Linked DNA regions of Saccharomyces cerevisiae S288C. Changing the gene in region 1 together with any one later gene gives a genetic interaction. Each region holds a gene or a part of one and is shown on either strand. Other genes may lie near its edges.

Region 1 (7,682 bases):
GTTCTGCTCTTATTTTGTGACCAATTTCTTTAAGTCATCCAAACCGACCTTGCCACTATTAGATTTGCTTGAATTTTGCGACGTTTCATGATAACATGTCGAGTGGAAATATTTGCCATTCACTTCAATAGTATTTTTCCAAACCCATTCACCAGATTCTTCATCATAAACGCCAGTAACGGTTTCCTTACAAATTGGACATTTGAAGGCCATATCTTGTGAAGTTTCTGGTACAACAACATATTTTCCCCGTATTTCCAACTCGTTACTTCTATCACTTCCTAAAGTGTTGTCTACAGAGCCTTCGTCATTTTCATCAGCGTGAATATTTAGGGCACTTTTATCGATATTTTTATTGGCATGCGGATCAGTATAATCATTTTTATGCTTTGTGGAGGTAATTTCATCATCTTTGAAGGCTGCCCATTGAGAGTCACTCAAATACCAGTTTCTTGATTGAATATTTTTCCTTGTGGTAGTTGTATTTAAGTTAGAGTTGCTTATGCCTGTATTTGCTGTGTTTTGTGATCCCTTAATTCTTGTATTTATTCTGAAATGCCAGTCCAAATGCTCATTTTGTAGTAGTTTTTCACTTTCTGAGTTGCCAAATCTCTTACCACACACGCTACATTTATTTGGCTTGGATCGGTATAATAAGTGAATAAGATTATTTTGGACGATGGGATTTTCTTGAAGAAGAGTTTGTTCGGACAGCTGCAGGGATGGGTTATTCAAAACGTCGATGTTAACCGTGGCAAAATAAGCTTTGCAGTCAGAAAGAATATCATTTAATAAGGGTATCTTTGGCAGGTTCTTCATCAATTGTTTTTCGTGTGAATCAAGAGAGTAGTTTGAGTGTCCATTTAGCTTTTTATAAAGCGTTACGATGGATTCTTTTGGTGGAGTATATATGAGCCCTTCAGCCTTAAGAGATGCATAGAGGTTATTGATTTTGTTTAGGGACTTTTTTTTCTCAATTTCTTGAAAAGATTCAACGCCAGAAATATTACCAAAAAGAGAGGAAGATAAAGAATTCTGTTGGTTCGTTGTATCTGAATTATTTCCAAACAATGGAATCGCTGAATTAGAGTTTTGTGTGTAAGAACCGACCATATCCTTAGTTTCGTGATACTGCTGCTGCTGCTGCTGTTGTTGTTGTTGCTGTTGCTGCTGTTGTTGCTGTTGCTGCTGAAGTTCGTGATACCTCATTCTTTCCTGCAAAACTTGTTGGTCCTGTGAGAAGACCTGCCTTAGTTGCATTTGAACTTGTTTCAGAGCATTGAGAGTTAGTTTTTCTCTTTTCAGTTCTTGTTTCAACTGAGATAAAACCAACAGTTTCATTTTTAATTTTTCATCATTTGGTTGATTCTTTAGCCTTTCACTAGTTAAACAAGTTAATTTATCAATGTCTCTTAATAGGAGGGGAACAGTCGGAGTTGGTAACATTGCTTGCAGGTTTTTCTGGTGGAGAGCACTGGCCTTTATTAAAAACTGTTCAATTTTCTCCAGTGCTGAGCCTTCAAACAGAGGCAGGCCGGTGTCATTAGGATTCAACCAAAGCTTAAACATATTGATGAGTTTTGTTCTTGTGGTGTTGTCCACCAATAAGTATGTTCTTTTGTACAAGTTAAACAAATTTCTACTGAAGTAGATTGTGTATGGGCTGCCAACATTCTTACAAATGGAGTCCAAGGCATAAAAAGCGTATAGCTTCTGCTTAGGCATACATTTTTCAATTCTACTCTCAATGGCGTCAACAAAATATTGAGCACACGAAATGTTTTCTTCTGCTAACTTCGTGAGAGTGGTAATAATGGGTCTCGAGTTAAAAGTTAATTCTTCAAGAATACTGTTGAAATCCTTGACTATAACTTCTGTGTCGTGATCCATAATGAAAAGAGAGTATTACAAATAGACCTAGTGTTTTCAAGTACAGTTTTCTTAACTGCTCCGAAAATTGTCCTGGTAATTCTTTGCAATGCAAAATTGAAAGAGAGACTTTTAAACTACTAAACCCTTAACAGTAGAACAACATTGTCTCATTAATTTTTGAAATTTCGCTTTCTTCCCATGCCTTAGGCCAAGTTCTCATCCAATGCGTCGAGTCCTTAAAAAAAATTCGCCCGGGTAAACTAAAACTTAGATGCACTAGGTAATACCATTTGGTGATAAAGGGAATAAAAAGCAGCAAATCCTAGCTCAATTACGAAACTCTGATCACTTGGGGCCCAGCTTCATTGGCTAAATTGGTGTATCCCTTGAACCGACTACGTAAGTACGTTTTGAAAAGTGTGTAAATCTATGTATAAAAGTACATCAAAAATTAGACTGAGAAAGTTCTGTATAGCTGTACTAATACATTAGGAATAGGCTAGACTTCTTCGCCGCTGGAATAAAACAGCTGGGCCTTCTCTTCATTGGTACCACTTGCTTTGCTCTATTGAAAGTACAAAGAATAGAGCAGACGAGTGTAAACATCCTATCTGCGTTCCAACAGAAGTGCGTATTGAAGTCATCTCATGCTAATGGCCATCTCATGTAGAATAGTAAGGAAAAACGTATCTAATTTATAAAAACTTGAGTTAGATCTCAAACTTCGGTAGATTGCGCCTTATTTAACGGATGATATACACTTATTCTACTGCTCACATTACTCGTTTTACAGGAAAAAATGGTCAATGCGGGCAAAAGAAAAAAATATTGGGCGATATGTTACAAGAAAAGGGTGAGATGGAAATTTATGCTAAACATTAAGTGGAAAAAAACCATATCCATACAATAGAAGTATATATTCTGAATAAAGGGTCAATTAAATTTCACCAAGGAATAAAATATTGTTAAAGAAAGTAACAGGAAGAGAAATCGGATATGCCTGACAATAATACGGAGCAATTGCAGGGATCTCCTTCAAGTGACCAGAGACTGAGGGTTGACTGGGACAACGGTAACCATTTTGACGTCTCTCCCGACAGATACGCGCCTCATCTATCTGAATTTTACCCAATTGTAAATAGTAAAAGACCAGTGGCTAGCAGTGCTGGCTCAGAAAATAACGACCATCTGGACGACATGAACCATTTACGTTCATCCAAAGTGTATTCAAAGGCCCGTCGGGCATCGAGCATAACTTCTGGTACGAGCACAATAAACGACTTGCAAACGCTAATCACAAAGAGAGATGTGAAAGAGACCCAGGAAGCCCTATCGACATTACTCAGGAACTCGAATGCTTATTCGGATTCGTTATTAAAGACATCTCAGAATGGGGCAGAAATTGCCCATTCCTTAGAAAACATTGCCAAGTTGAAGGGTTGCAATGATGAAACGGCGGAGAAACTATTGAGTGCCAGTGGGTTATTCTACCTTTTATCTAATCATCAGCTTATAATGTCAAAGTATTTCAATGACTTGTTGGGAGATAATTTAATTGATGATATTGATGAATTCGAATTACAGACCAAGATAATGGAGAACAAGTTCAAAGCACAAAGCAAAGAGCAAAGTTTAAAATTGAAATTGCAGGAAAGACATAACTTCGATATCTCGAAAAGAAAAATAAGGAATTTAATCTCATACCGAGAGAGCCTTTCTAGCTTGCAAGCAAGGTTAGATCAACTGGAGACACTAAAGCACGATTTTTACATGGATTCATACGAACTTGTGGAAAATACATGCAACAAAGTACTCAGCAAAGTTGCCACGGTATCTAGGGCACAAGTGGAAATTTCTGAAAATATTGCAAGGAAAGGTTGGTCTGGAGGCGGGCTAGACGAACTACTTTGTGATGCAGACGACCCCTTCAGCAAAAAAGCAGATGGGCCATACGGGACCATCGGTGGTGATGGAGAGACTGCTGGAGAAGCATACAACAGCGATGAGGAAACGGGTGGGAATGACGTGGTGCTCAATGAACTACTAGAAGGAACCAGCCAACCTTCCACATCAAAAACATCTTTACCCAAATCCAAGGGGTCCTCAACGGTATCCACACCGAATCATTCACAGTCAAGTTCAAACAAGGACGGGGTACGAAACAATGGCGGCGGCAAAAATGGCGAAGATGAGGATACAGACAATTTGATGGGAACAGAAAATTCATTTTCTTTACCGCCTACGAGAAACTCTGCCGAGGAAACCACACAAACGTTTAAACAATTGTCCATTAAAGAAGATAATGACAATCACAGCAGCGATACGGACGGCATGCAAGACCAGTCAAGTAATATATAAAATTTGTAACTCTATGTATGCTTTTTATATAGAAATGGAGAAAGTGAACAATTGAAGTTATAGTATTTTCGGAGAAATGTTGCATATATACATAGGAAAACGGTTAAAAGGCCCTGCTTCTACCTTCTGTTTCCCCCTCGTTCTTTTCACCAGAACTTGTACCATTTCTTCTCAGAGGAGGCCTGAGATAAATTCTGGTTACTTTGTTCAAACTGACTCTGCTTTTCATTTTTGGCGGCCTCCCATTGCCCCGGCAGAGATGGGTCATGAGGGACATTATGGAGCATTGGTTTTTCCTTTTTCGCCACGGTTTCCTTTGCCAATTGTGCGATCTGGAAACTTTTTTGTCTCTTTAGCCTACATTGCTCCCATCCGACAATCGAGCCCAGTATCAGAGAGCTCATCGCCCAATTCGTGGCCTTAGTCGGGCTCTTATGGTATATAAATATAATAGATCCCATCAAGAACATGCTGGAAAACCCGAGCATGCCCGCGTCTCTGAAGCACGGGATTGAAGTCAGCTTCTGCAAACTAAAATCACTCCATCTGATCGAGTCCCAAGCCTCTTTCAAAGTAGCCCGTTCTTGCTTCTTGGCCAACTGAGAATTGGACAAGTCATCGGCAAACTTGGGTGGAGTGTCTTCTAAGAGGATCTTTTGACCCCGCGAGTAATTTGTCAGCACGCGATCACCATCTGCTTTACCCTGCGGTTGTTGCTGCTGCTTTTGATCTTCTGTCTGATTTGACCACGGCCACCAACGCATCTTTATATTAACTGTTGAGCTGCTCGTTACGCACTGCTGTGGACTTCACTACAATGCTTTACCGAGCAGTGGAGTTTGATATAGTGGTGGTACCCCCGACGGTGCTATAATAAGCTTGCCTGCACGGCTTACCCTACCGCTCGGAAAGGCCGCCTTCGTCGCTCATTGGTCTGCGGCCGCGGGCGCTTTTTGGTCATTGTTCATATATGAAGAAAGAGCAGGAACGGAAATTTTTCATCTTGCCTTGCCCATTGTTCTGATCCATGCGTTGTTAGAAATACAACGTTTGCATCATACCAAACTTCTCCATTCCGTCAGCTGATACTCTATTCGGTTGTGTGTTGCACCCTGCTCTGCTGTCTCTCAACCGTTCTTCCTTTACACGCCTTCCCTTCTCAGCTCGCGTTTCTTTTTTTTTTATCCCACTCTTTTCTTTTTTCTTTCCTATATATTGCCCATATAAGTTTGGTTGGAAGGAAAACTAATAGAGCTAGTTGTTGTCCCTCAATAATCATAACAGTACTTAGGTTTTTTTTTCAGTATGCAACGCTCCATTTTTGCGAGGTTCGGTAACTCCTCTGCCGCTGTTTCCACACTGAATAGGCTGTCCACGACAGCCGCACCACATGCGAAAAATGGCTATGCCACCGCTACTGGTGCTGGTGCCGCTGCTGCCACTGCCACAGCGTCATCAACACATGCAGCAGCAGCAGCAGCCGCTGCTGCCAACCATTCCACCCAGGAGTCGGGTTTCGATTACGAAGGCCTGATAGATTCCGAACTGCAGAAGAAAAGACTTGACAAATCGTACAGATATTTCAACAATATCAACCGATTGGCCAAGGAGTTCCCCCTAGCTCATCGCCAGAGAGAGGCGGACAAGGTCACCGTTTGGTGTTCCAACGACTATTTAGCACTTTCCAAGCACCCTGAGGTATTGGACGCCATGCATAAAACTATCGACAAGTATGGTTGTGGTGCCGGTGGTACAAGAAACATTGCTGGCCATAACATCCCCACTTTGAATCTGGAAGCCGAATTGGCCACTTTACACAAGAAGGAAGGTGCCTTAGTTTTTTCGTCATGTTACGTAGCCAACGATGCCGTCTTATCCCTACTGGGTCAAAAGATGAAGGACTTGGTGATTTTCTCCGACGAACTCAACCATGCGTCCATGATTGTCGGTATTAAGCATGCTAACGTAAAAAAACACATTTTCAAACATAATGACTTGAACGAATTGGAACAACTGCTCCAGTCATACCCCAAATCCGTTCCTAAACTAATTGCTTTCGAATCAGTATATTCTATGGCCGGTTCAGTGGCCGACATAGAAAAAATTTGCGACTTGGCCGACAAATACGGTGCTTTGACCTTCTTGGATGAAGTACATGCGGTCGGCCTGTACGGCCCTCACGGTGCAGGTGTTGCAGAACATTGTGATTTTGAAAGTCACCGTGCAAGTGGTATTGCTACCCCAAAGACCAATGACAAGGGCGGCGCGAAGACTGTGATGGACCGTGTCGACATGATCACCGGCACTTTAGGTAAGTCTTTCGGTAGCGTAGGTGGCTACGTCGCAGCCTCTAGGAAATTGATCGATTGGTTCAGATCGTTTGCACCTGGTTTCATTTTCACCACGACTTTACCACCTTCAGTTATGGCAGGCGCTACCGCAGCAATTAGATACCAACGTTGCCACATCGACCTAAGAACCTCGCAACAGAAACATACCATGTACGTAAAGAAAGCTTTCCATGAGTTGGGCATTCCAGTTATTCCAAATCCTTCTCATATCGTCCCAGTGTTGATTGGTAATGCTGATTTGGCTAAGCAAGCTTCTGACATCTTAATCAATAAGCATCAAATCTACGTACAAGCTATCAACTTCCCTACGGTTGCTCGCGGTACCGAAAGATTGAGAATTACCCCAACGCCAGGTCACACCAACGATTTATCTGACATCTTAATCAATGCAGTTGATGATGTGTTCAATGAGCTACAGTTACCACGTGTCAGAGACTGGGAAAGCCAAGGTGGCTTATTGGGTGTTGGAGAGAGCGGATTTGTGGAAGAGTCTAACTTATGGACATCAAGCCAACTATCTTTAACTAATGACGACTTGAACCCTAATGTTAGAGACCCCATCGTTAAACAACTAGAGGTTTCTAGTGGTATCAAGCAGTAAAACAACCAATATATGCATGGGCTGAGATAGAGGTACAAGGAATTTGTAAATCAGTAAAAAAAAAAATTAACAGTTTTTTTTTTTCATTTTTTTTTTTTATTCTTATTTATGTATGATACTTTATTATTATTTCTCTTAATTATTTATTTATTTAACTAACACGATGAGCACTTTTAACTGCAATGGTTAAACTGTAGCAATGTTGGTAAAAAAGCAGGGAAAGTTCAAAAATAATTTATGTATTTTTCCTCGGGGGTACAGAAAGTAAAGAGAGAGAAACGTATGAGTATATATAGGCTAATGTAATATGTAGTGGTAAATAAAGAGACAAAAGTTAGCTATTCTTGTTTGAAATGAAAAAAAAAAAGCACTCAAGCGTTGTTTTTTTCCAATTCATTTTGCAAGTTTTTTGTACTTTTCTTCAATTCATTAGACAATTCATCGACGTTAAATTCTTGGGTAGTGGAAGGTTCGTGTTGTGGAACTTCTGGCATAACTTG
Region 2 (7,086 bases), on another chromosome or scaffold:
CATCCTGAACACACATGTCCATTTGTCAGAAACCAAACTAGCTGATCTGATTTCCAAGTATGATATTGTTCGCGCTTCTATTCCATTGGGCAGAAGGTCAGCTCAAAGATTAGGAGTCAAGCCCGATTCGATGGTTCAAGTAGCTTTACAAATAGCTCACTATGCTTTGTATGGAAGAATGGTGTTTGGATTAGAACCAGTATCCACACGTGGTTTCAAAAACTCGAGATCATCTTTTATTAACATTCAAAGTCAAGCGCTGTTGGAACTATGTCAATTGTTTATTTCTAGCTCCATTGATGGGACAGATAAATTAGACAAATTTATCCAAACCTGCGAAACACATAATAACATGGTTAAACATGCAAAGTCTGGGGTAGGTTATGAAAAACACTTCAATGCATTGAAATATCTCTTCAAATTTCATGACCATTTTGGTATCCACTTAAGTGGTGATGAATCATCTGCTGCGAAAGATCTTTTCGAAAATCCACTTGTTTTACCTTTCTCACAGCCTGAGTTGATTGTTGCCAACTGTGGTAATGCTGCTACCACGACATTTGGTATAACTCCTGCTGTACCTCATGGCTTTGGAATAGGGTACATCATTAAAGATGATCAAGTAGATTTGACCGTGACATCGCAATTTCGACAGGGTGACAGGTTAATGTTTATGTTAAGTTGGGTGTTAGGCGAAATTCGTTCCTACTGGAGGATGTCACGCGGCACTTCTCATAATAAAACTGGCGTGAAGATCAGTCCAGTGGTCGATAAATTGTATGAAATGGACAATGCAGTCAATAATCCTCCGAAACGTAACGGCCATACAGTCAATGGCTCCCGCAAAACATCTTCTTCATCACAGGTAAATTTGAACAGGTATGGCGGGTTTTTCGATTTGGAAGGCCACATTGACAGTAGGAATATATCTAAAACACCATCGATGAAGAATTTGCAGAAAACCTTCAATGGCTTGACCATGAGCGCAGACAATGATCATTCAAGTTCCGCAGTTTCCGTTCCCACAGAAAAGGAAAAATTAAATACAGGCCATGAAATTTTACAGATCCAACCGCGGGAAGTGGCAAGTAATGGGTTGGAAGCAGATGATGAGACAGATATTGAAATAGTTGCTGGCAATGCTGATGGCACATCCTCTTCGGCATCTTCAGCTACATCTCTAAATTCCAAGAAACGTAACGTCATCAACTCAAGATTCGATATTGATTTTGACCGCAGTCGTGTGGGTAGAAAGGTGGCGACCTTAGATCAATAAGAACGCTCTTTGTTTATCTATTTATTACTAGCATTATGCGTAAGCTTGGCGTGATGTGATATATACTTGTTATATGAAGTATATCAATATGCTTTAATTTATGCTTATTATTTGCTCTCATGTCAGTAACCCGGACCAGATTTGCCATTGAAAAAATTTTCATAGAATAGCCCGATGCTGATCATCAGTACAAAAGACAGAGATTTCATCTCGACCTGTACCAGGAGCTAAGCAAAGAGGGCGGAAAGAGCGTAATACACCGTTAACATCGCGCATTAGAGGTAGACATGAGTGACTTACAAGACCAAGAACCTAGCATTATTATCAACGGTAATTTGGAACCAGTTGGTGAACCAGATATCGTTGAAGAAACGGAAGTTGTAGCTCAAGAAACACAAGAAACACAAGATGCTGATAAGCCAAAGAAGAAAGTCGCCTTCACTGGCTTGGAAGAAGACGGGGAAACTGAAGAAGAAAAAAGGAAAAGGGAATTTGAAGAAGGTGGTGGTTTGCCCGAACAACCATTAAACCCTGATTTTTCAAAATTAAACCCACTATCCGCCGAAATTATCAACAGGCAAGCTACAATAAACATCGGTACCATCGGTCATGTCGCCCACGGTAAATCCACAGTAGTTAGGGCTATTTCAGGTGTCCAAACAGTCCGTTTTAAGGATGAATTAGAACGTAACATTACTATTAAGTTAGGTTACGCTAATGCTAAAATTTATAAATGTCAAGAGCCTACATGTCCCGAACCTGATTGTTATAGATCATTCAAATCTGATAAAGAAATCAGTCCTAAATGTCAAAGACCAGGTTGTCCGGGGCGTTACAAATTGGTCCGTCACGTTTCTTTTGTTGACTGTCCCGGTCACGATATCTTAATGAGTACTATGTTATCAGGTGCTGCTGTTATGGATGCTGCGTTACTGTTGATTGCAGGTAATGAATCTTGTCCACAACCTCAAACCTCAGAGCATTTAGCTGCCATTGAAATCATGAAATTAAAGCACGTCATCATCTTACAGAATAAGGTCGATTTAATGCGTGAAGAAAGTGCCTTAGAACACCAAAAATCCATCTTGAAGTTCATCAGAGGTACCATTGCTGACGGTGCTCCTATTGTACCAATATCCGCTCAGTTGAAGTATAACATCGACGCAGTTAATGAATTTATTGTCAAGACTATTCCCGTACCACCAAGAGATTTTATGATTTCTCCAAGGTTAATTGTTATTCGTTCATTTGATGTTAATAAGCCAGGTGCTGAAATCGAGGACCTGAAAGGTGGTGTTGCCGGTGGTTCTATTTTGAATGGTGTTTTCAAATTAGGTGATGAAATTGAGATTAGACCAGGTATTGTCACCAAGGATGATAAGGGTAAAATTCAATGTAAACCAATCTTTTCTAACATTGTCTCCTTATTTGCCGAACAAAATGACTTGAAGTTTGCTGTTCCCGGTGGTCTGATTGGTGTTGGTACTAAAGTTGATCCTACCTTGTGTAGAGCTGATCGTCTTGTCGGTCAAGTCGTCGGTGCTAAGGGTCATTTGCCAAACATTTATACTGATATCGAAATCAACTACTTTTTGCTACGTCGTCTATTAGGTGTCAAAACAGATGGTCAAAAGCAAGCCAAAGTCAGAAAATTAGAGCCAAATGAAGTTCTTATGGTCAACATTGGTTCTACCGCTACGGGGGCTCGTGTGGTTGCCGTTAAAGCTGATATGGCAAGATTACAGTTAACGTCGCCCGCTTGTACTGAAATTAACGAGAAGATTGCTTTGTCGAGACGTATCGAAAAGCATTGGCGTTTGATTGGTTGGGCAACCATTAAAAAGGGTACTACATTGGAACCCATCGCTTAAGGAACCAATAAAACCACTGCAAAGACAAAAATTTCATAATTAATCTGAAAGAAAGTGAAGATAAGAAACGGGCTAGGAGGAAGGGAAACTGACACTTCTGGTTATTGCAATATGCTCATATACATTGATGCGTAATGACATTGATGATCTTTATTCTCTTTTTATAACGTTTTCTTTCTTTTTTTTTCCTTCTTACATAGTATTCAACTGTATATTTAACATGTTTTACGTATTTTTAAGAAAAAATTACTAAACGCGATAATATTAAGCAAATATTTATCTCATAGTTCTCGAACTCATTTATTTCCCATTGATGCCATGAAAACCTCTCAAACCTTTATCGTCTAGTTACACCAGTAGTCAATAAACTGCCTTTCTTTTTTTACACCCAACATACTCTACACTAAATCTTATCGGTGGTTTGTACATGGAGACAATTGCACAAAGATAATGAAGCTCCAAAATTATTCAGTATCTATTGAGTATATATAACCTTGAAAAGGTTTTATTTTATATAAGTTCGCCATCTTAGTATAGTGGTTAGTACACATCGTTGTGGCCGATGAAACCCTGGTTCGATTCTAGGAGATGGCATATTTATTTTTTATATTCTTAATATACAAAGAATGTCGTGTGAAGCTGTAGGCACAGGTAATTTTGTAACCATAGTCAGATGTGGTGATCATGAGAGCGAATTATAATTTTATACCAGCTGGCAAGAATTGAGTAATATTTAGACCAGCATATAAAAGTAGAATAAAAAGTTATATGTACAAATTTTTTTTGACGCCAGGCATGAACAAAAACTACTATGGCTTTGGAATTTTCAAGCTCTTCGAAATCATTCCACACCCATGGATAAAAAATACTAGAATAATTGGATGAAATTCCAATATTTGGTCTTCTCTAAAAATGCCGAATGGGATGTTATCAAAAATTAAACCCTTTCTGACACAATATGCCATACCCAACACCAAAGCTAGAGTGGTTGGCATAGGCAATCCCTCAAAATATTTAGATTTACCTGTGCTAGAATCTTTGGGTAATTGAGCAACGGTGACATTAAACCTTGCTAATCTCGCTAAGCCGCAAAGGACAAAGAAAGATAAAATCATGACATCGAATGTAGTTTGAAATCCAATGGCAAAAGCAATTGCAGCCGGAGCCACACCAAAGGAAACCAAGTCGGCCAAAGAGTCCAGTTCTTGACCCATTAAGGAAGACCTATTTCTCAGACGTGCTACTCTCCCGTCAAGGAAATCGAAACACATACCCAATAAAATAAAGAAATGGGCACGCTGGACGTAATGAGGTTTACCTGTAAGCGTAAATCTCAGACAACTTACAATAGAGTAAAACCCAGAAAATCCATTCAGCATAGTAATGTAATCTGCCATATGCAAATTCCTCATCATGCTGAAATGATGTTCGTCACTTGTAAATTTTTGGATATCAGTAGCATTAGGGGGGGCCAATGGAGTTGTATTTATAGAAAATATACTTGAGGCCCTTCTGCTTAATGTGCCACCAACTTCATCTGAGGCATACCCGTCATTTTCGTCTCTGTGTTCATTTACGATAACGTCTGTGTCCGTGTGTGGGAATTCTTGAGGTGCGAAATCTTCATCTGATTCAACCATTTTTTAATATATAGTTTTATTTTTGTTTTTTGATTGAATCAAATAGACAACTAAAAATGACAATCACCCACAAAATGAAAAAAATAGGTGTATCTCTCTTTCCTTATTTATAATGTTTCCTATAAAATACGGATCTTCATCTTTAGATGGGTCCATGTGAAAGCTCAAAGGCGTGAGGGTGCCGTGTGAACGTTCAAAGTGATTTTGACCAATTACTGATATATATTCAGTGTCTGGCACAGAAGTCTGCACACATTGAGAAGGAGTGGGGATTGATGTTAGGGATATCTTCTATAATGCTACTAATTTATATATACATCCCGTAACAATTATGTGCATATACGTACGTACGTACGTATATACGTATATACATTCCAACCCATATATACAAATACTTACATGTAGACCTTGATATTTAGTATCATGGAGAGCTATAATGGAAAAATCGCAGAAACATCTTCGCTTTTATCTAAAAAGATGTAGCTATAAGCTCTATAATCATATCTATTGCAATGGTGTATACAGTATTTGGGTCACGTATTTTTGTTTATACCTAACAATGGATGCGACACATAATGTATTATGCTTAATACTGCTTGTCGCCAGATGGTTCAATATAACATGGTTCGGAATGGGAAGGGCGCCAGACGTATTATCAGTTTGCGCGTTTGAGTAACTATTCAAAATGACGTTTTCTAAATGAGGTGGCAGTTGTGGAGGAGTCAACCAGGCCATATTTTGGTGATTATTTTGCTGCTGATCAAGTGTCAAATAATATTGTTCCATTACATTTGGGTCGGTGAACACAGCAGGTATATCTTGAGTGTACTCTAAATTAGGTTTAGCGGGGGTCTCATCGTGAAAACGAGTGTAACCATCGCCCATGTCATCTGGTTCCTTTTCTATCTCCAATGCGATTCTCGAGCGAGCGCTCATAGGTCTCTTACTCAATTTGCTATCATCTACATGATTCGCTTTTTTTTCAGCCAGATGCTGCTGAGGTTCATTGCCCCAATCAGGCGGTGCGCTCACTTCCATATAGTTGACGAAGTTTCCCATTTGGTCGGTTGCGGTAGGTAAATAATCACTGAATCTTAACTCATTGTCAACAATAAATCTGAAACGATGAGTACCTGGAGGCAGCTGTAATTTTACATGCATAAGTCCAGGCTGTCCAGGGACTGGTACTAACCCGATCATCTTTCTCCATCCCGTAAAAGACCCAGTAACGTACACTTTATTACCCCCCTGTTGCCAAGTGATGTCAACTGGAAACATCATAGCTCTTCCTTTCTTGCCTTCCACAGTGCCCTGTTGCTGTTCTTGTTGCTGTTGAAAGCCTTGATTTTGAAGTGAGTCAGGCTGCTGAGATGGTTGATAATCCATTTTTTGCAAGGTATTTCCTGTCATATCTGCATCGTGGATATCGCCTTCGTTGCTGTCGATACTACTCGAGCTGCTAGCATCGATATCATCATCAGAATCAAAGGTCTCCCCAGAACCATTTTCCGCATGGTTTGAATATGGAGGTATTTCATCGTCATCATCGTCGTTAAAAATTAAACTCGATTTATGTCTTAAAGGATGCTGAGGCTCTAATTCATTAGGATTATCTACGTTCATTTGAGAAAAAGTGTACGCCAGGGAAGCCTCATTAGTTGAATCGGCGCTATGTTTACCATTAATCGTAGTGTTGCTAGCTGCGTCACTGACATCTAACATGGAAGCATCCTTGTTTTCAGGGTTGTCGCCAGCCATATTTCAGTGTAGATAATTTATTATTGTGCAGGAAACGACCTTATACAAAATATAGTAGCTCTTATCTAGGATGCTCTCTACTTGCGATTACAACAGTGGCCCAAATCCTACGAGATCGGTATTGTTTTCTTTGCCACGTTTTTTCGTGAGCTTTTCCAAAGGGGAGCAAATTGGTCGCTTAAGGATGAAAATTAGTGCAACAAAAAAAATAGCGTGGCCTGTGTTTTAACGGTAAAGACAAATTATTGAAGGTAGAGCAGGACTTTGAACCGGTCCGGATGAAGACCACTGGACCATGTTTCAGTCTCACATGGGTTTTTTGAAGCACAGCTTTTAAATTTGCAATGATTTTCTCCAAAGGTTTTCTTTGCGTCTTCATTCCAGGAAAAAGTATATCAAGTTTCAAGAACCCATTGTTATTTTCCTTCTTATATTCTATACGTTTTATTTACTGCTTGTTTATTTACTGAAGTAAGAAGGAGCACTGTTGAAATTATCAATTTGTCGCAAAATGCTCTTTATCGGAGGCAATGATACATTG
Region 3 (7,254 bases), on another chromosome or scaffold:
CAAAAAATCCGAAGAGAAGCAATAATTCTATCGATGGTAAAGAGTATGTGTCACGAAATCATCTTGATGCCGCAATGTACGAGCAAAAAAAGAAAAGAGAAATCAATCTTAACAACTCAACCATGCCGAGTGCTACTATAGTACTTTTCTTTATTACTACGTATGTAAATTGTAACAAATGTGTACTTTTATGTGTGTTCTTAAATGGGAAACTACTTAGCGTTTTGTTCATTTCCAGTGTTAAGTAGGAAGAATGACTGAGCGAAAAAAACCGTAGAAGTAGAACTTAAAATAAGAACGGAGGCTAAACCACCAAAACAGCTCATCAACAGTTAAAACACCACCAATATTTCCAGAAAAAAGAACTGTAGATATAGTCTCATTAGTATTTAGAAGAAAGAGGATTTTGCAATGGCAGGGGATAGTATAAGCGCTGACGGCACTGGCGTCCATCCAGTTGAACTGTCGGTGTATTCAGTATTGTCCACCGATTTAGACGGACTGTATCAATCGATCAATGAATTACGCGAGTCGCAAGCACTACTCATCCTTATGCTTCGGAAGGTTCGCGATAAACTTCGAAGAGAAGGTCAAGTCCTTTATGACCCAGAACCATTCAAACCAACCATGGATAAACTGGCTGACTTATCTGCCCGTGTGCGCATTCTCTCACAAAGATACGAGGAGCTTCAGGGGAATGCTAGAGCCCTCAACAACTAAGTAAACATACACATGTATAGCATAATCTTCGATTCCTTTTACCCATTCGTAGATGGCATCGACAGTGTACTTATAATACTACCGTGAGAAACGATATTAAGAACAAGACGAAAAATGGTGGAAAATCTGGAAAGCAAGAACGTAGCACGCTAGAGTTATTCTAGCTTGTCAGCTCGACTGTTTAATTATTATTGTTATTATATTAACATTAACGTAATAACCATTGAACTACATTAAAGAAATAACTGTCTCGCTTATATCTGGTCTATTTTTTGTTTTTTGCCTTTCCTTTTAAATTCTTTATAACCTTGAAAACAAAAAATCACATTGGTAAATTACAATCATTTATTACCAAATTTGTCCATTAACTATTTTAGCGTGACTGACTGATAAAGACTGTTTCACTCTCTTTATTTATTCATAACAAAAATTCAGATATTTTGAACTATAAAGTACTAAAGGCAGAAAAATTAATAGCAAATTAAGCGATGGCAATCAAGTCATTGGAATCGTTCCTTTTCGAAAGAGGTCTAGTAGGATCCTATGCCATTGAGGCTCTGAATAATTGTACCCTGGATATAGACGTCAACCATTATGTTTCCAGATTGTTGACCAATAAAAGAGAACAGTATTTGGATGCCATTGGTGGTTTCCCTACCAGTTTAAAAATGTATTTGGAAAGCGACTTAAAGATATTCAAGGATTTCAATATTACCCCTATTTTTGTCTTTAATGGTGGTTTGACTTACAACCAATTAGAGGCATCGGGCCATTTTACTGCAGCATCTGCTTCTGCGTCGATTTCGTCAACCACTACTTCCAGCAGCGGTACCAATGCCACAACAAGATCCAACACGGAATCCGTTCTTTTGCAGAGAAGTAGAGGCTGGACACAATGGAACAACTTGATTAGTTCGAATCAGAATTCCTATATTGACCAGCCTATTCAACCCCAAGAGCCATTCAGACATAACACCACAATTGACTCCAAAGCTTACCAAAACGATTTGATCGCTTATTTTATTGAGCATGGGTATATGTACCAAGTGGCTCCTTACTCCTCTTGGTTTCAACTAGCATATTTATTGAATAGCGCTTATATTGATGCGATCTACGGCCCAACTGATTGTTTGATGCTAGATTGTGTTGATAGGTTCATTTTGGGTATGGAATTTCCAAATAAAGAATTTCGATTCATTGACAGGTCAAGAGTGATGAAGGATTTAGGTTGTACCCATGAAGAGTTTATCGATATTGCTATGGCTGTAGGTAATGATTTGCAACCAACAACTTTACCACCATTGCAAATTTATCCAGTTCCTCAGCTGTTTGATATTGCTCTAGAAATGGTTTTGAATACAGGTACAAACTTCTATGCCTATCAACTATCTACAACCTTACAAAATGACTCCAAAGAGAATATTCAAAACTACCAAAGAGGTATTTCTGCATTAAGATACATGCCAGTCTTGAAAGATACAGGTAAAGTTGAATTATTTGTTCAAGAGATCGTTGTTTCAGAGGAGGACAGTGAAAAGAATAACAAGGATGGAAAAAAGAGTAATCTTTCCTCACCATCTTCTGCGTCATCTAGTGCTTCTCCTGCTACCACCGTGACTAAGAACGCTAGTGAAAAGTTAACTTATGAAAAATCCAGCACTAAAGAGGTTAGAAAACCAAGAGATATTCCTAATGATGTTCATGATTTTATCGGCCAAATGTTACCTCATGAATACTATTTCTATAGATCCATAGGACTGGTTACTGGAAAATTATTTGACGCAATTGTCACAGGAGTTTATCCTGAAGAGCCTCCATTGGGCGGAGGATCTTCTACATCCTACAAGAAACTGGTTTCCAAGTCCGTTGAAATCTTCAAGAATAAAGAAATCAATTTATTAACTCAACCAATTAACAGATACTATCAGATTAAACAAATTAAACAAGTCAAGTGGTATGCGGCAAATGAGCCTACCACTTTGACCAACAGGATGTCACCTTCTATGTTTGAAACTATCAACCACTTAATTGTTAAAACAGAAACGTCTGATGAAAAGGAATTTTCTATCTCTGAGTTCATTACAACAATAAATGGTTCTAGCAATATGGCGAAAGATTTTATATCTGAAAAAGTCATTTTCCCAAACTCCGTACCAATCGAATCCAAATTAAACTCACCATTTAATTTATTGTCGACCAATTTCTTAAGATTACTAGTACTATTGGAGTTCTTCACTTTTGATTTCAAGGAAAAACTGCTAGAGCCTACGAGATGGGGTGAGGTATTCTTAAAATTAAATGAGCTCAATATTGACAGTAAGTATCACGAATCAGTTATTATCTTTTTGGTATTTTTGAAATGCGATGTCTTAAAACTTGACGAAGAAGTTCAACCACCGGCTCCCTCAGCCCTATCTCAAGCCACTCTTCGTTCATATCCTGAAGAATCATTGTACGTCCTATTGATTACGCGTGTATTAACTTTATTTCAAGTGGACCAAAAGCCATCAAATTACCACGGACCAATTGATAAGAAAACTTTGATCTTTAGAGATCATCTTTCTTTCATAAAGGAAAATTTAAATGAACTTTTTGAAGCCGTTTTGATCTCATCTTTAACTTCTGGCGAGTTTAATAGATTATCACTTGATAACTTTGGTTGGGCAAGAAAGATTGTTAGATATTTACCGTTCAAATTAGATTCCCCAAATACTATAATGGCTATGATGTGGGAGTTTTTCTTACAAAAATATCTTCACAATGGTAATGCCAAGAATGATGCATTGTCTTTAGTTGCTACTGAATTCAACACTTACAAATCCACACCAAATCTTGATGAACAGTTTGTCGAATCCCATAGATTTCTTCTTGAAATTTCAAAAGTCATGCAGGAGCTAAATGCTGCGAAATTAATCGATGAAAACGTGTTTAAATTATTCACTAAAGCAGTTGAGTTTACTACAACAGCTCTATCTAGCTGAAGCGTGAGAATGAGTATGATGGAAATAGTGGAACTATTTAAAAAGCACCCAATAAAGAAAGATAGTTACTGTAAAGAGGTATATTATCATTATTCAGAGGGTTCAAGTACCATCATCAAGATTTAACACAAGCACAGTGAATAGCAACAATTAAAGAAAAAACTAATCAAAATCACGGTAGAAATAGGAGAAAAAAAGTAAAACAGAAACTAAGTCACTGTTTCTTTATATGACATATTCTATTATATAAATATGTAAAGAACGCTGAACAGTAAAAATTTTATGAAATTCCGGCAGAGAAGAAAAGGAAAAAATAAGTATACACCACACCGTTACTGGATAGATTGAAGTTCAAATCAAAAAAGTTTACAAGTGAAATAACAAACAGTAAATATTACACATTCATGTACATAAAATTAATTATCGGTGTCAATTGATTTCTGCTTGTAATGCTTGCAATTCGTGTCTCTTATTGTTCAAGTAATTCTCCAATACTTCAACCTGCTGTTCAATGTTATCCAAGTCATCAGTTATCGACCTGATGTTAATCCGCTTAGAAAGTTTTGAGCCTCCTTGAGTTTTTTCACTCTTTTTGTAGTTCAAAAGGCCTTCTAATTGTTCTCTCATGTTCGCAACTTGATCATCTGTCAGAGAAGCATATTTTTGCTTTATACTGTCTTCATTTGAAAGCACGTTACTGCCACTGCTATCGGAACTCGAGTTCTGCCCATTGTCACGCAGATTGTCCACTTCGTTAGCTTCTTCTTTTCTCTTTGTAGGAGGTTGAGAGGACCGTAAATCATAGCTCAGTTGTTTTTTATTGCACACCTCCGCCAGAGAATTTGGTAAACTTGCTGGAATTTCAGCACCCAAATCATTTCTTTGTCTTAAACAGTGAATAAAATAAAAAGTAGGATCTCTATCAATTGATGGCAAATTTTGTGGGTTAATTAAACTCCAAACCTTATTTAAATCTGTCTTACTGATGTTAAAAAATTTTGTGGAAAGTTTTGTTGACAGTTCGTTGAATGTAATAGTACCATCGGTTAGTTTTGCACAGCTATTATAAATTTTTTCATATTGATTCAAATCATCTGGAGACATGTACCAATCTACTTTGATTTCCTTCTTTGGAGGCAAGTCTGCGTTTTCTATTTGCTTGCGCTTCTTTCTTTCTTTGATTAGATTCACCTTACTCCCTGGAATCAACCAATCAGGCAATTCATCTGGAACAGAGCTAATGTTTTTATTAACCATATCAAATATTAATCTCATGCAAATTACAAATTCCTCAAAGTCTAAATTGTCGTCGTCATCAATATCAGCTAAAAACCAAATCTTGTTTAGAACCGATGAATCTAATTTGGAATTATAAAGAATTGGTAAAACCTGGTCATGGTTTACCTTATTCTCTATTGGTTTCAAACCCGAGAAGATTTGCCAGTATTTTTTTATTTCAAATTGTTCCAACTTGGGCATTTTTCAGAGATCCCTGTTATCTTTACCGGCCTTTCCAATACCCACTAACTCTATGGTTATATTACAATCGTCTGATTATAACAGGCAATTAACCTTGTGTTTCTGACGTTCTTTTCATTCATTCTTGATATGTTAAATCATAGGGGTCCTACACGATCGTCAAATATGATATTTAAAAAGTAATAAATAAAAATGCAGCTTTTTTATTAGCGATGGGAAATATTGAATATTTGAAGGGGCAAATAACGTTTAATTCAATCGAATGACGGTCTAAATGCTGCTGAAAAATTGCGAGACGGACAAGCAGCGAGATATACGGTATGCGTGTTTGTTCAAGGAACTTGATGTTAAGGGAAATGGTCAAGTTACTCTAGATAATCTGATAAGTGCTTTTGAGAAGAACGACCATCCGCTCAAGGGAAATGATGAGGCAATCAAAATGCTGTTTACTGCAATGGATGTTAACAAGGACTCTGTAGTTGATTTAAGCGATTTCAAGAAGTATGCTTCCAATGCCGAATCTCAAATTTGGAACGGCTTCCAGAGGATAGATTTAGATCATGACGGTAAGATTGGCATTAACGAAATAAATAGGTATTTGTCAGACCTCGACAACCAGAGCATATGTAATAATGAACTTAATCATGAACTTTCAAATGAAAAGATGAACAAATTCTCGAGGTTTTTTGAATGGGCGTTTCCAAAGAGAAAAGCCAACATTGCGCTACGAGGCCAGGCTAGCCACAAAAAGAATACTGATAATGATCGGTCAAAGAAAACCACCGACTCAGATTTATACGTTACATATGATCAATGGAGAGACTTTTTGCTGCTGGTACCGAGAAAGCAGGGTTCGAGACTTCATACTGCTTATTCCTATTTTTACCTATTCAACGAAGATGTCGATCTGTCCTCAGAGGGAGATGTTACTCTCATAAACGATTTCATTCGCGGGTTCGGGTTTTTTATTGCTGGTGGTATTTCAGGTGTTATTTCAAGGACTTGTACCGCGCCATTTGATAGACTGAAAGTGTTTCTCATCGCAAGAACGGATCTATCCTCGATCTTGTTAAATTCAAAAACAGATCTCCTTGCTAAAAACCCCAATGCTGACATAAACAAGATATCATCTCCATTAGCAAAGGCTGTCAAAAGCTTATATAGGCAAGGCGGGATAAAGGCTTTTTATGTTGGGAACGGTTTAAACGTCATCAAAGTTTTTCCAGAAAGTTCGATAAAGTTTGGTTCTTTCGAGGTCACCAAGAAAATAATGACCAAATTAGAAGGCTGCCGCGACACAAAAGATCTTTCAAAGTTCTCTACTTACATTGCTGGTGGTTTAGCTGGTATGGCAGCTCAGTTTTCCGTTTATCCTATAGATACTTTGAAATTCAGGGTGCAGTGCGCTCCTTTGGACACAAAGTTGAAGGGGAATAATTTGCTCTTTCAGACTGCAAAAGATATGTTTCGAGAGGGGGGGGGTCAGATTATTTTACAGAGGTGTCACAGTCGGTATAGTGGGCATATTTCCCTATGCTGCATTAGATTTGGGGACTTTTTCTGCCTTAAAAAAATGGTATATTGCCAAACAGGCAAAGACCCTGAACCTACCACAAGATCAGGTCACTCTAAGCAACCTGGTTGTACTTCCAATGGGTGCATTCAGTGGAACTGTAGGAGCTTCTGTTGTTTATCCAATCAATCTTTTAAGAACAAGACTACAAGCCCAAGGAACATATGCACATCCTTATGTGTATAACGGCTTTAAAGATGTTTTGTTAAAGACGCTAGAAAGGGAAGGTTATCAAGGTCTATTTAAAGGTCTAGTACCAACTTTAGCAAAAGTATGTCCAGCAGTTTCCATCAGCTATTTATGTTACGAAAATCTGAAAAAATTCATGAATCTGGAGTAGTGATAATAACATATGCATATGTATCAACTAGTGAATTCTATTTAATTATAAACCGCTGCTGCGGTTTGTGGGCGTACTGTCAGCCAAGCTTTCGTTATAATATATATTCTTTTCAACATGTACATAGCTAGAACTCTAGAAAGCACAGATTAATACCGATT
Region 4 (10,317 bases), on another chromosome or scaffold:
AGTAACACTGCTGCTCTCTTTATTCTTTTCTTATCTCATTTTCTCTGCCAGTCGGAATGTTACATCATCCAATAAATTAAACAACCATGCAAGCGAGAGGACAGCTGTTGAATCATCTGCATTCAATTGGATTGAAAAACGACAACACCAAGTGAGATCCGAAAACTTAATGAACAGATTATCTGCCTACTTTTTGCCCTTTTTGAGTAGAAGTTCTCACAAAGAACGTGTATTGTTGAGGCAATTAGGAAATAATGAAATAGCGAAGAGTGACAAGTGCCGTTACATTTTTGAAGTACTATACAAGATTGATCCCGACTGGGACAATGCGCAAACTGCAAAATTTTATAATGTTGATGGTGTAGATAACACGTTGGCCTCATTGTTAGGGGAAAGATTAAGATCTTATGATTATTGCTTTTTATCTGGTCAATTAGATCCTACTGCAATATTTGCAAATTCAACCGTAAATCCTCATGATTTGCAAAACAGAATGTTTCCATTTCTGAAGAAAATTAACGAGGAATCCAAAACTGTAATGTGGCCTATTATCACAGACATGACAACTGGAGAGGCAGTTCCGGCACCCGAGGTTGATATGGAATCATCAAACTTTAATGGTAACTTTTGGTCCAACTGGAATAGGTTGAGCAAAGGAAGAGGTTTTGTTTTAACTATTGCTGAAAAGGATGTTCCTTTATTTTTGAAACAGTTGAAAGTGATGGAATTTTCAAAAAACGAATTACCATTCCAAATAGTATCCACGGGAAATGAACTATCAGCAGAGTCTATTGCTAAAATTTCTGAGACCGCTAAAGAAACGGAACAAAGGGTCTACTTAGTAGACTGCTCGACAGTGCTTGACACTAATTTTGCTAATACATACATTTCTTTTTTTCAGAATAAATGGGTCGCCACTTTGTTCAACACATTTGAAGAATACATTTTGTTGGATGCAGACGTAGTACCGTTTGTAGGGTCTGATTACTTTTTCGACTCTCCTTCTTACAGGGAGAGCGGGATACTTTTGTTCAAGGATAGGGTTATGGAAAACGAGCAAACTTTCCAATACTGCATCGAAATGTTAAATGAAGTGGAACCCTCTGCACAAGAACGCAGATTTATTGGAAGTAGGTTAGTTTTTGATTCGTCATTACCGTTTTCTTCCGAAACCTCAGAAGAAGCATCTGTGTATTACAATTTTTTCAAAAAATTACGACTCCATCATGTTGATAGTGGTTTGGTTGTAGTCAATAAACTTGAGAAATTAAATGGATTGTTGATGTCTTTTATGTTAAATTTGGATGGAAAATTGCAGAGGTGTGTGTATGGTGACAAGGAAATATTCTGGTTGGGGCAATTATATGCTGGCCAGGATTATTCTATCAATCCCGTTGATGGCAGTATTATTGGACCTGTTAATGAAGAGCCTGAAAATGATGACGGACATAAAAGCGGGATGTACTACATTTGTTCTACGCAGATTGCACACAGTGACTCCAAAAATCGATTACTATGGGTAAACGGTGGACTGAAGACTTGTAAAATTTCGAACAGTGCTGAAGATGACTTTGGAAGAGAGCCAGAGTATTTTAAGAGTAGATATGGGGACATTTCAAAATTAAAAAGGATATATGATGCTTCGTTGAACGTAGAGGGACTAATCGTTCCTGACGTTTCTGTTCATCCATGGATGCAAATCAAGGAATGTTCTAATTATATGTATTGTGCATATGCTACGGGTGACGGACACACAAACTCTGAACTTGACGAAGGTCGTCTAATCACGTTTACTGAAAAGGAATTACGATATATCAATGATATTTCTCGAACCTGGAATGCTAATTGAGAAAAAAAAAAGTGAAAAGGAAATGAGAGTATTAATATTTATTAAGTATGGAGCATATATAATCCGAAAAATGATTATAGATTAATTTAGAATATGATTTGGGAATAAATTAACAATTAGTTTAAAGCAGAAGGCAGCCGGATGAGGAACAAGAACTGTTGAATAGTATTAGGTAATTTTGAATGTTTTCTAACGGAACGCTATTCACTGATTATACGCTTTGTTCGTTTGGATTATGAGATGTTTTGGACCGCCTCATTGATGGGATACACTTCTTTATACCATCAATCACAGAAGGCCAAATTTTTTTGATGTAGGTTAGGTAGAAGCCCACAAACATGGCGGCAATGTTAAAGCAAACGAAAACCCATTCAAAACCAAAATTTCTCCATCTGTGATGATAACTCATATTTTCTTGAGCAAGGAAGTCATCCCCAACAGTGTACATGCAGTAGGCGCAGACGGTGTATGTGTTATTGATGTGCAGTTTCCCACCAAATTCATCAATAAAGGGTTTCATAAACTGACCGCAGGTTTGACCCATTACAGGTTGGCTTGGTACCATTTCACTTGTCGAGCAGTTTACTTCTCTGTCATGGAGAAGTAAGCTTACGAAAGTTTCAATGAAATACGTGTATGGTGAAACCCTGTACATGAATGTCCAAAATCTTGGGAATAACGAGTATGGTTGCATAACGCCACAGAATGAAGCTGTGAAACTATAGAGGAAGGCAACAAAGACAGCGGCAGTTTGTAAATCGGGGGCAGAATATAGAAGCCACAACCCAAATGACAAATAATACATGGAAAATAAAATATAATTCAAGTAAAAGACACCAGCTACACGGGCAGAGGTTTCGAAACCGCAACAGAAGTAGCAACACAGGAAAAATAAGGTAGAACTGGAAATGGCTAATGGTAATTCAACAATAGTTTGAGCAATCAAAAGAACGGTCCAATGATAAGTATTAGATCTCGCTTCCCTGGCGATATATACTTCTTTAGATTGCAAAGCCTTATCTTGAACCTGATTGATCAAAGGGGAGGAAACACAAAGCATCATGAAGCACAAGAAAATAGCATCTTGCAGACCGTTGATATTATGCTTTGTCCTCCAAAATGAAAATCCAATGAATAGTCCAGCGCCAGCATTCAAAGCATATTTAGCGAAAACATAGGTCATGTCTCTCTTGGTACAAATGTACTGTCTCTTTGTGATTAACTTTATTTGTTCCATATACGAAGGCGGACTCCATACGGACGTAGTGAAATCAACACCAGATTTCCGGGCTTCTTCTTCTAATAAAAGCAAATCATCAGCAACCCGCACTTTTTCTGGAGAGGATTGCCAGAGTTCTGCCCAGTTAATTGAATCAGATTGCTTATGGTAAGATACTGGCTCATCAATTTTGCTTGAGGTTGGCTTCTCTGCATCATCCATTGGAATATTTGTACTTCCGCTACCAACAACGTCAATAACGAAATCAGCCGGATTATCCATTTCTCTGTCAAATGTTAGGCGTCTATCGTGAGCTACAAAATAGTCACAGGCATTAGGTAATGAACCAAAATAGACACACTCACCACCTCTTTTTAGTAAATAGATGTTATCAAAATAGCTGATGACACTTTTGCTAGGCTGATGAATAGTACATAAGATAGCCTGACCTTGCATCGAAAGCTTTTTCAGAAATTGCACGATGGTTAAAGCTGCTTCGGCGTCTAGCCCTGAAGTAGGTTCATCTAGGAATAACAACAGAGAAGGCTTAGTGACCAATTCAACACCAATAGATAATAATTTTCTTTGAGTTGGAGATAAATCAGCAACCAGTTTTTCCGAAGGCAATCTTAATAGGTTGCTAACAACTCCTAAATAGTCTCTATCCCCATCACCTCTTAGGACGCAGGAAATTTCCAAAGACTCTCTCACAGTTAAGAGCTCTAAATGAACATCTTGCTGTTGAACGAACCCTATACTTCTTCTGAATGCATCAATATTCGTTAAGGGCTGTCCATCGATTAATAATTCACCGGTAACAACCCCGCTTTCGGTCCTTTGAGACAAGACATTCAACAAAGTTGTCTTACCAGCACCAGATTCACCCATTAGGGCAGTTAATCCGGAACTTATATATCCAGAAGCGTCGTTGATCAATTTTTTGTCTCCAATGGTATAATTGATATTTTTCCAGGAGATGACGTGCTTTTGCGTTTCCATAGCTACGGATTCCTTAGTATGATTGTTAACAGTTTCATCTGGATGTTTAATATTGTAATCAGTATCGTATTGATGCGAGACTGATGGAACAGAAGAGGATGAAGTGGAAAAATTGGCTATCGGGGTCTTGGGAGTACATACGCCATCGTTGTTGGTAATAGCGCTTTTATTATTCTTTTTTTGGCTATTCAGAAAGGGACAGTATCTTTTGAGATAGTTATTCCAGCGCAATAAATTTTCTCTAGTAAACAGAGGCGTGATATATTCCGCTGCTAGTAAAGAGCAAAATAGGAAGAAACACAGAAACCCAATGATAATACCGAAATTTCTCCACACGTGATGGTAAGTGTATTTCAATCCACTTTTTAAATAATCACGGCCTCTGACGTAATCGTTACCTAGGGTAGCGCCTTGCCAGGCACAAGCTTTATGACTGAATGAAATATTGTCATAATATTCACCTCTGGGAATAATACTTTCATGACAGTCTAGTTTCAGGTTAAACAATTCGTTACTCAAAATGGCTTCCATGGCAAACATAGCAGGATTCAAATATGCAATCCATATGAACCATGGATGCATATCTTTCATATAAATAACATAGGACGCGTACATGGCAATGGCTAACAGTAAGATACCGGCCAATAGGTTTGCCATTGATAGAGTTGGAGCGATCAAAGCAGTTAATGCAAATAGTGACACCATGCAAAAATTATAGACGGAAAGGAAAAGCAAAAAGATGAAAAACCTAGCTGCATTGTACTGTAAATGGGCCAAAAAGTAAAGTATGATTGTAAAAATAACCACCAGTATAAATTTAGAGCAGCAATCGAAAAAATTTGTTGCTAAAGTTTCCACCCAATTATAATAAAAATGGAGCTGGACATGTTTACGAACGACGGGTTGCCTTTGAAAGGAAGCAGGCATGTCGGCGAGAGAAAGAAATGTAAAGAATAGGATGGAAAAGAAAGTTAAAGATCCTCTAGAAAACGAACCAATTGTTGTCAGGGGAATGTTATAAAAAAGGGACCCAATAACCAAAGACTGCACCACAACAGAAACAAATTGAGAAATCAAGTAGTTTCTGTCACCAATGATTCTTTCGAAAGCTCTTACAGTGCACGTTTTCAGTTGCGTCTTTAGCGGAATACTAAAAATGGGGGAGATATCATCCGGATTAACATCTTTTCTGGTGCATTCTTGCACTGTTTTTGAAGTGATGGCCTTCCAGTGTTTATAGTATGGAGACTGAATCCATAATGTATGCAAATCTGTTTCATTATTGATGTTTAAAGCTTGATTTTCTTCAGAAACAACAGATGGAGTGTCAAGACCAACAATGGAATTAGACGTTTCCTTGAACTTAAAATTTAAGATTGATGTTAAATATTCAATAATACAATCGTTAGGGTTTTTTTTTATCTGTAAGGTGTCATGAAAATGGGTTAAACACTCCTCCATGGTTCCGTAAAACACCTGGAAGGAATCACCTAACATAAGAATCTTGTCAAACTTGCTGACAATTTTGTCGCTTGCTTGAGAAATTTTAACAAAATTCACCGATCTTGTAGCTTTTGCCATCTTTTGGGTAATGGAAAGAAATTCTAGGGCGGTGGCAGAGTCCAAACCCTTCGTCGAGTTGTCCCATAAGTAAACAGACCCATTGGCAATAAACGTTTCTATAATGGAGATACGTTTCCTTTCACCTCCAGAAACACCACGAACGTAGTCATTACCCACATACGTCTTCTTTACGTGCGACAGTCCGAACTCTTTTAATAACTCGTCTCTCATTTCAATACGCTCTTGCTTGGGAATGTGAAACTTACAACTCAACGCAAAATCAATGGTTTGCTCCACCGTCAGATACGGGAAGTGAATATCTTGTTCGTTATTATAAATGATCTGATGGGGGCATTTGGAAGCAAACTGTTTGTACTCATTGTCTTTGAATCTAATAGACCCTTCAGGCGAGTATTTCAGATGCTTGTGACCATGGAATAGACCTTTGAAGAGCGCTGATGTTGGGTTTCCCAGTACTAAGACGACTTCACCTTCATTAGCACGAAAAGTGATATCACTAATTTCTAAATGGCCTACGTTTTTGAATTCCGATGCGGACTCTTCATCGTTCTGAACAGCACCGAGGGATTCTTCCAATTGAACGGTAGCCCCATCAAAGGTGACTGAAGCGTCAGGAATTGGATTAAAATATTTGGAAAGAGACATCCGCGAGGCGTTGCTTCTCTAATTTTACTCTATCGTGTTTAGTTGTGAATTTTTTTGCTACAGTATGCAAGTTCTTTTTACCAACCCGTTTACGAACTAATGAGAAAAGGGTTTAAGTGTGTGATAATACTATTAATAGCTAAAAGAGCAGAGAGCTTTACGATGTTGTATGTTGTTTTATATAGGTGAGAGCAGGATCTGCGGAAAATACTTCGTACCGTAGTATCCATTTTGCCTATGGAGGAAAGCTTGTTTCCAAACCAGGAGATCCGCAGACAGGAAAAGTTCGAGGCCAAACAAAAACCGCAGCACAATGGAGTAAAAGTCGAAGGCACGGGCCCCAAACGATAGAGTGGAAGTTGTAGGAAACAAAAGTGGCCGTCTATGTGGCGCTTCTCTGCGGTGAATTCTGTGCGAAGTGCCTAAACGAAAACGGACGGAGAAGGCTGCGGGGGGATATCCCTTGCATAAAGGATGCCCGGCACTGTCCTAGACGGTGCCTTCCCTTAGAGACTAGGAGAGACTTGAGTAGGAGAAACTGAGCAGGAAAATTCGAGAGATAAAGTACATGTGCCTAGGTAAGCTGTACTTCGAACAGCTAATATTAGTAAGATGCATAAAGGGGCGTCAAAGTGGAAATATAACGACAGGAGAATCTCGGTGTGTAAGTTGGAATGTGTATTGCACCACTTCCATGATTGGGCTTTTTTCCTGGCGCAAAATGTTGCTTTTTCAACATTTTTCTTATACGCAGAGAGAGAATCGTCAGATAGGTGGTAAAACTTGGAGCCTAATTAGCTCATTATTTCATTTGAACGAGACATTGGCTTCTGCCCTACATCACCCATACGAGACATTGGCCTTATACGAGGCGTACTTCGCCTTGCGGGAAAAAAAATTTCTTTTGTAAGCGAGGTTACTCAGAAACTGTGACTGAAGGCAGAGGTTGGAAACGTGTGTAGACTCCAAATGGAACGATAGGAACGTGTACCCTACCGCTTCTGCACACGTTTCTTAGATATGCGTGCCTTAAGGCGACCCATTGTTCCTGTTTACCATGATTTCTGTAGGCTTTTTTTTAGAAGGCCCTAGAATGGATTGCAGATTTCCGTCTGAGAAGGCAGTATACGTACATATGAATATATATATACATATATTCTTTGGTGGAGAGTATAAGCGTTTCGTCTCCTCTTCCTTTCTCTACTGCAGATTTTCTTGCTGGTTGTTTGATTTTTTCTTTTTAGTGTTCCCCAGATCCAATTGTTCAACCGCCCACACACAACAATGTCTTTCACTAAAATCGCTGCCTTATTAGCTGTTGCCGCTGCCTCCACTCAATTGGTTTCTGCTGAAGTTGGACAATATGAAATCGTCGAATTTGACGCTATTTTGGCTGATGTCAAGGCCAATTTGGAACAATATATGTCCTTGGCAATGAATAATCCAGACTTTACCCTACCATCTGGTGTTTTGGATGTTTACCAACATATGACCACTGCTACTGATGATTCCTACACCAGTTATTTCACCGAAATGGACTTTGCTCAAATCACCACTGCCATGGTTCAAGTGCCTTGGTACTCTTCTAGACTGGAACCTGAAATCATCGCTGCTTTACAAAGCGCGGGTATCAGTATTACCTCCTTAGGTCAAACCGTTTCCGAATCTGGTTCCGAATCTGCCACTGCTTCCTCAGACGCTTCTTCTGCTTCTGAATCCTCTTCAGCTGCTTCTTCTTCTGCTTCTGAATCCTCTTCAGCTGCCTCCTCTTCTGCTTCTGAATCCTCTTCAGCTGCTTCTTCCTCTGCTTCAGAATCTTCTTCTGCTGCCTCCTCTTCTGCTTCTGAAGCTGCTAAGTCTTCTAGCTCTGCCAAGTCTTCTGGCTCTTCTGCTGCTTCATCTGCTGCTTCATCTGCTTCTTCCAAGGCCTCTTCTGCAGCTTCCTCTTCTGCAAAGGCCTCCTCTTCTGCAGAAAAATCTACTAATAGCTCCTCCTCTGCTACCTCCAAGAACGCTGGTGCAGCTATGGACATGGGCTTCTTCTCCGCTGGTGTTGGTGCCGCTATTGCCGGTGCCGCTGCTATGCTCTTATGATTGTCACTTATTAATGATAAATTATAAAATGTTATATGTAAAAAAACAAATATACACTTTTTGAATATTAGTATCCTATTTTAATATACTGTCTCCTAGATAATACAAACTTAATTTGCTTTCTCTTCACACTTTTTTCTTTACTCTTGTAATGTACACTTGGCTGTACATTAAAAAAAGGAATGTTCGAGCAAGAGCATGAAATCCACAGACGGCTGTGCCATGTAGCAGCCGTCGAGAAAAAAAAGATATAGAAAAGGGAAGAGAAATATCATTGTTATTACATCCACTGGATGAAGTAATACTACGAGCTTTATACAGGTAATATTAAAGTTCCTTAATAGAATGGGTGAAGCACTACGTAGATCAACCAGGATTGCAATATCCAAAAGAATGTTGGAAGAGGAAGAGTCCAAACTGGCCCCTATTTCGACACCGGAAGTGCCTAAGAAGAAAATCAAGACGGGTCCTAAACATAACGCTAATCAAGCAGTAGTTCAAGAGGCAAATAGGTCATCTGATGTTAACGAATTAGAGATAGGCGATCCTATTCCTGATTTGAGTCTTTTAAATGAAGATAATGACTCTATCTCCTTGAAGAAAATCACCGAAAATAACAGAGTTGTGGTGTTTTTTGTGTATCCCAGGGCAAGCACGCCTGGTTGTACTAGACAGGCCTGTGGATTTCGTGACAATTACCAGGAACTCAAGAAATATGCTGCTGTCTTTGGACTGAGTGCAGATTCTGTGACATCCCAGAAAAAGTTTCAGAGTAAACAAAATTTGCCATATCATTTACTAAGCGATCCAAAGAGAGAGTTTATTGGGTTGCTAGGAGCCAAAAAAACGCCACTTTCTGGTTCTATTAGATCGCATTTCATTTTTGTTGATGGGAAGTTAAAATTCAAAAGAGTTAAGATATCACCAGAAGTTAGTGTAAATGACGCCAAAAAGGAGGTTTTAGAAGTCGCTGAAAAGTTTAAAGAAGAATGAAGTTTAATAACCCCCTTTTTGTTTCTCTAGAGGAGTACTTATCGGTAAAATATTCCAAACCCTTCCCTTTATATATGTAGATAAACGAAGATATTCTAACTCTCTCACACTTATAAAATATCGAGCCTGCAGAAGGTCATAAATATTTATATACAAATGGGAAAGTACTTAACGATCCGACTTGATCAATATCAAATATCGTGGCCTGGTTTACATTGAGAACGGGCACTATTTCTTTGGACGAAATGTTGCTTAGGCAAATTTTGAAGTGAGACATTGCTCGAGAATTTGTTACGTAGACTAAGTCAGCATCGCCAATGATCATTAAGCAATTGGTCGTCTCAGATGTGATCCTGCAATTATGAGTCCTTTCAAAATTAGATACACACTCTTGGGAAAACTCAACTAAGTATTTGGTGTGAGGAATCTCTTATCGATGCGTATACCTTGTAGTCGCAAACGTTATAAAATTTTGTAATTTTGGCGAAATGGCACGGATTGGTTAAAATTGTCGGGCTCATATGCGGTAGCGCTAAGTCCTGCTTGGTCAAGCTAGGAATTACATGGCCAGAGGGATGATATTGATCATGCTCCGAGTTGTCTTCAATTAATGCCTTTATCCATGGTTGTAGAAAAACTGAGTCTGTTGGCTTTGAATGAGACTCCAGAATTACTTTCGGCATTGTTTACTTGTTATCCCGATTTGTACCCAGGATTTACAGCTTTTAATTCATTATCTATGGTCAACTTTTGCTGTCTAGTTTCATATTTACTCGCTACCGTTTCACCAACTGTAGTCATCAGTTATGGTAAAAAAATCTCCGCGACGGGGAATTGAACCCCGATCTGGCACGCGACAAGCGCCCATTCTGACCATTAAACTATCACGGATTTGTTTCTATGAAAATTTCGTTTATTTGTATAGTATATGTTT

The links.
Region 2: of HEM1 (region 1) and CHO1, changing one suppresses a phenotype caused by changing the other (phenotypic suppression), as found in Saccharomyces cerevisiae (one study listed by BioGRID).
Region 3: of HEM1 (region 1) and END3, changing one enhances a phenotype caused by changing the other (phenotypic enhancement), as found in Saccharomyces cerevisiae (one study listed by BioGRID).
Region 4: mutations in HEM1 (region 1) and PDR11 impair growth when combined (synthetic growth defect), as found in Saccharomyces cerevisiae (one study listed by BioGRID).

The regions. Positions count from the first base shown.
Region 1 is NC_001136.10:921,917-929,598, forward strand, and holds HEM1 (5-aminolevulinate synthase), read left to right. Parts: upstream 1-5,535; coding exon 5,536-7,182; downstream 7,183-7,682. Other genes in the region: PCF11 (Pcf11p), read right to left, coding at 10-1,890; IVY1 (Ivy1p), read left to right, coding at 2,869-4,230; COX20 (Cox20p), read right to left, coding at 4,377-4,994; RTN1 (Rtn1p), read right to left, coding at 7,554-7,682. UniProt on the Saccharomyces cerevisiae protein: Catalyzes the synthesis of 5-aminolevulinate (ALA) from succinyl-CoA and glycine, the first and rate-limiting step in heme biosynthesis.
Region 2 is NC_001137.3:203,688-210,773, forward strand, and holds CHO1 (CDP-diacylglycerol-serine O-phosphatidyltransferase), read right to left. Parts: upstream 4,788-7,086; coding exon 3,957-4,787; downstream 1-3,956. Other genes in the region: carnitine O-acetyltransferase YAT2, read left to right, coding at 1-1,276; GCD11 (translation initiation factor eIF2 subunit gamma), read left to right, coding at 1,564-3,147; GAL83 (Gal83p), read right to left, coding at 5,292-6,545; MIG3 (Mig3p), read right to left, coding at 7,005-7,086. UniProt on the Saccharomyces cerevisiae protein: Catalyzes the synthesis of phosphatidylserine (PtdSer).
Region 3 is NC_001146.8:465,923-473,176, forward strand, and holds END3 (End3p), read right to left. Parts: upstream 5,181-7,254; coding exon 4,131-5,180; downstream 1-4,130. Other genes in the region: TCB2 (tricalbin), read left to right, coding at 1-25; SNN1 (Snn1p), read left to right, coding at 412-720; MKT1 (Mkt1p), read left to right, coding at 1,209-3,701; Ca(2+)-binding ATP:ADP antiporter SAL1, read left to right, coding at 5,455-6,939. UniProt on the Saccharomyces cerevisiae protein: Component of the PAN1 actin cytoskeleton-regulatory complex required for the internalization of endosomes during actin-coupled endocytosis. The complex links the site of endocytosis to the cell membrane-associated actin cytoskeleton.
Region 4 is NC_001141.2:326,147-336,463, forward strand, and holds PDR11 (ATP-binding cassette multidrug transporter PDR11), read right to left. Parts: upstream 6,297-10,317; coding exon 2,061-6,296; downstream 1-2,060. Other genes in the region: alpha-1,3-mannosyltransferase MNT3, read left to right, coding at 1-1,849; YIL012W (uncharacterized protein), read left to right, coding at 6,865-7,206; TIR3 (Tir3p), read left to right, coding at 7,581-8,390; thioredoxin peroxidase DOT5, read left to right, coding at 8,736-9,383. UniProt on the Saccharomyces cerevisiae protein: Transporter involved in the uptake of sterol.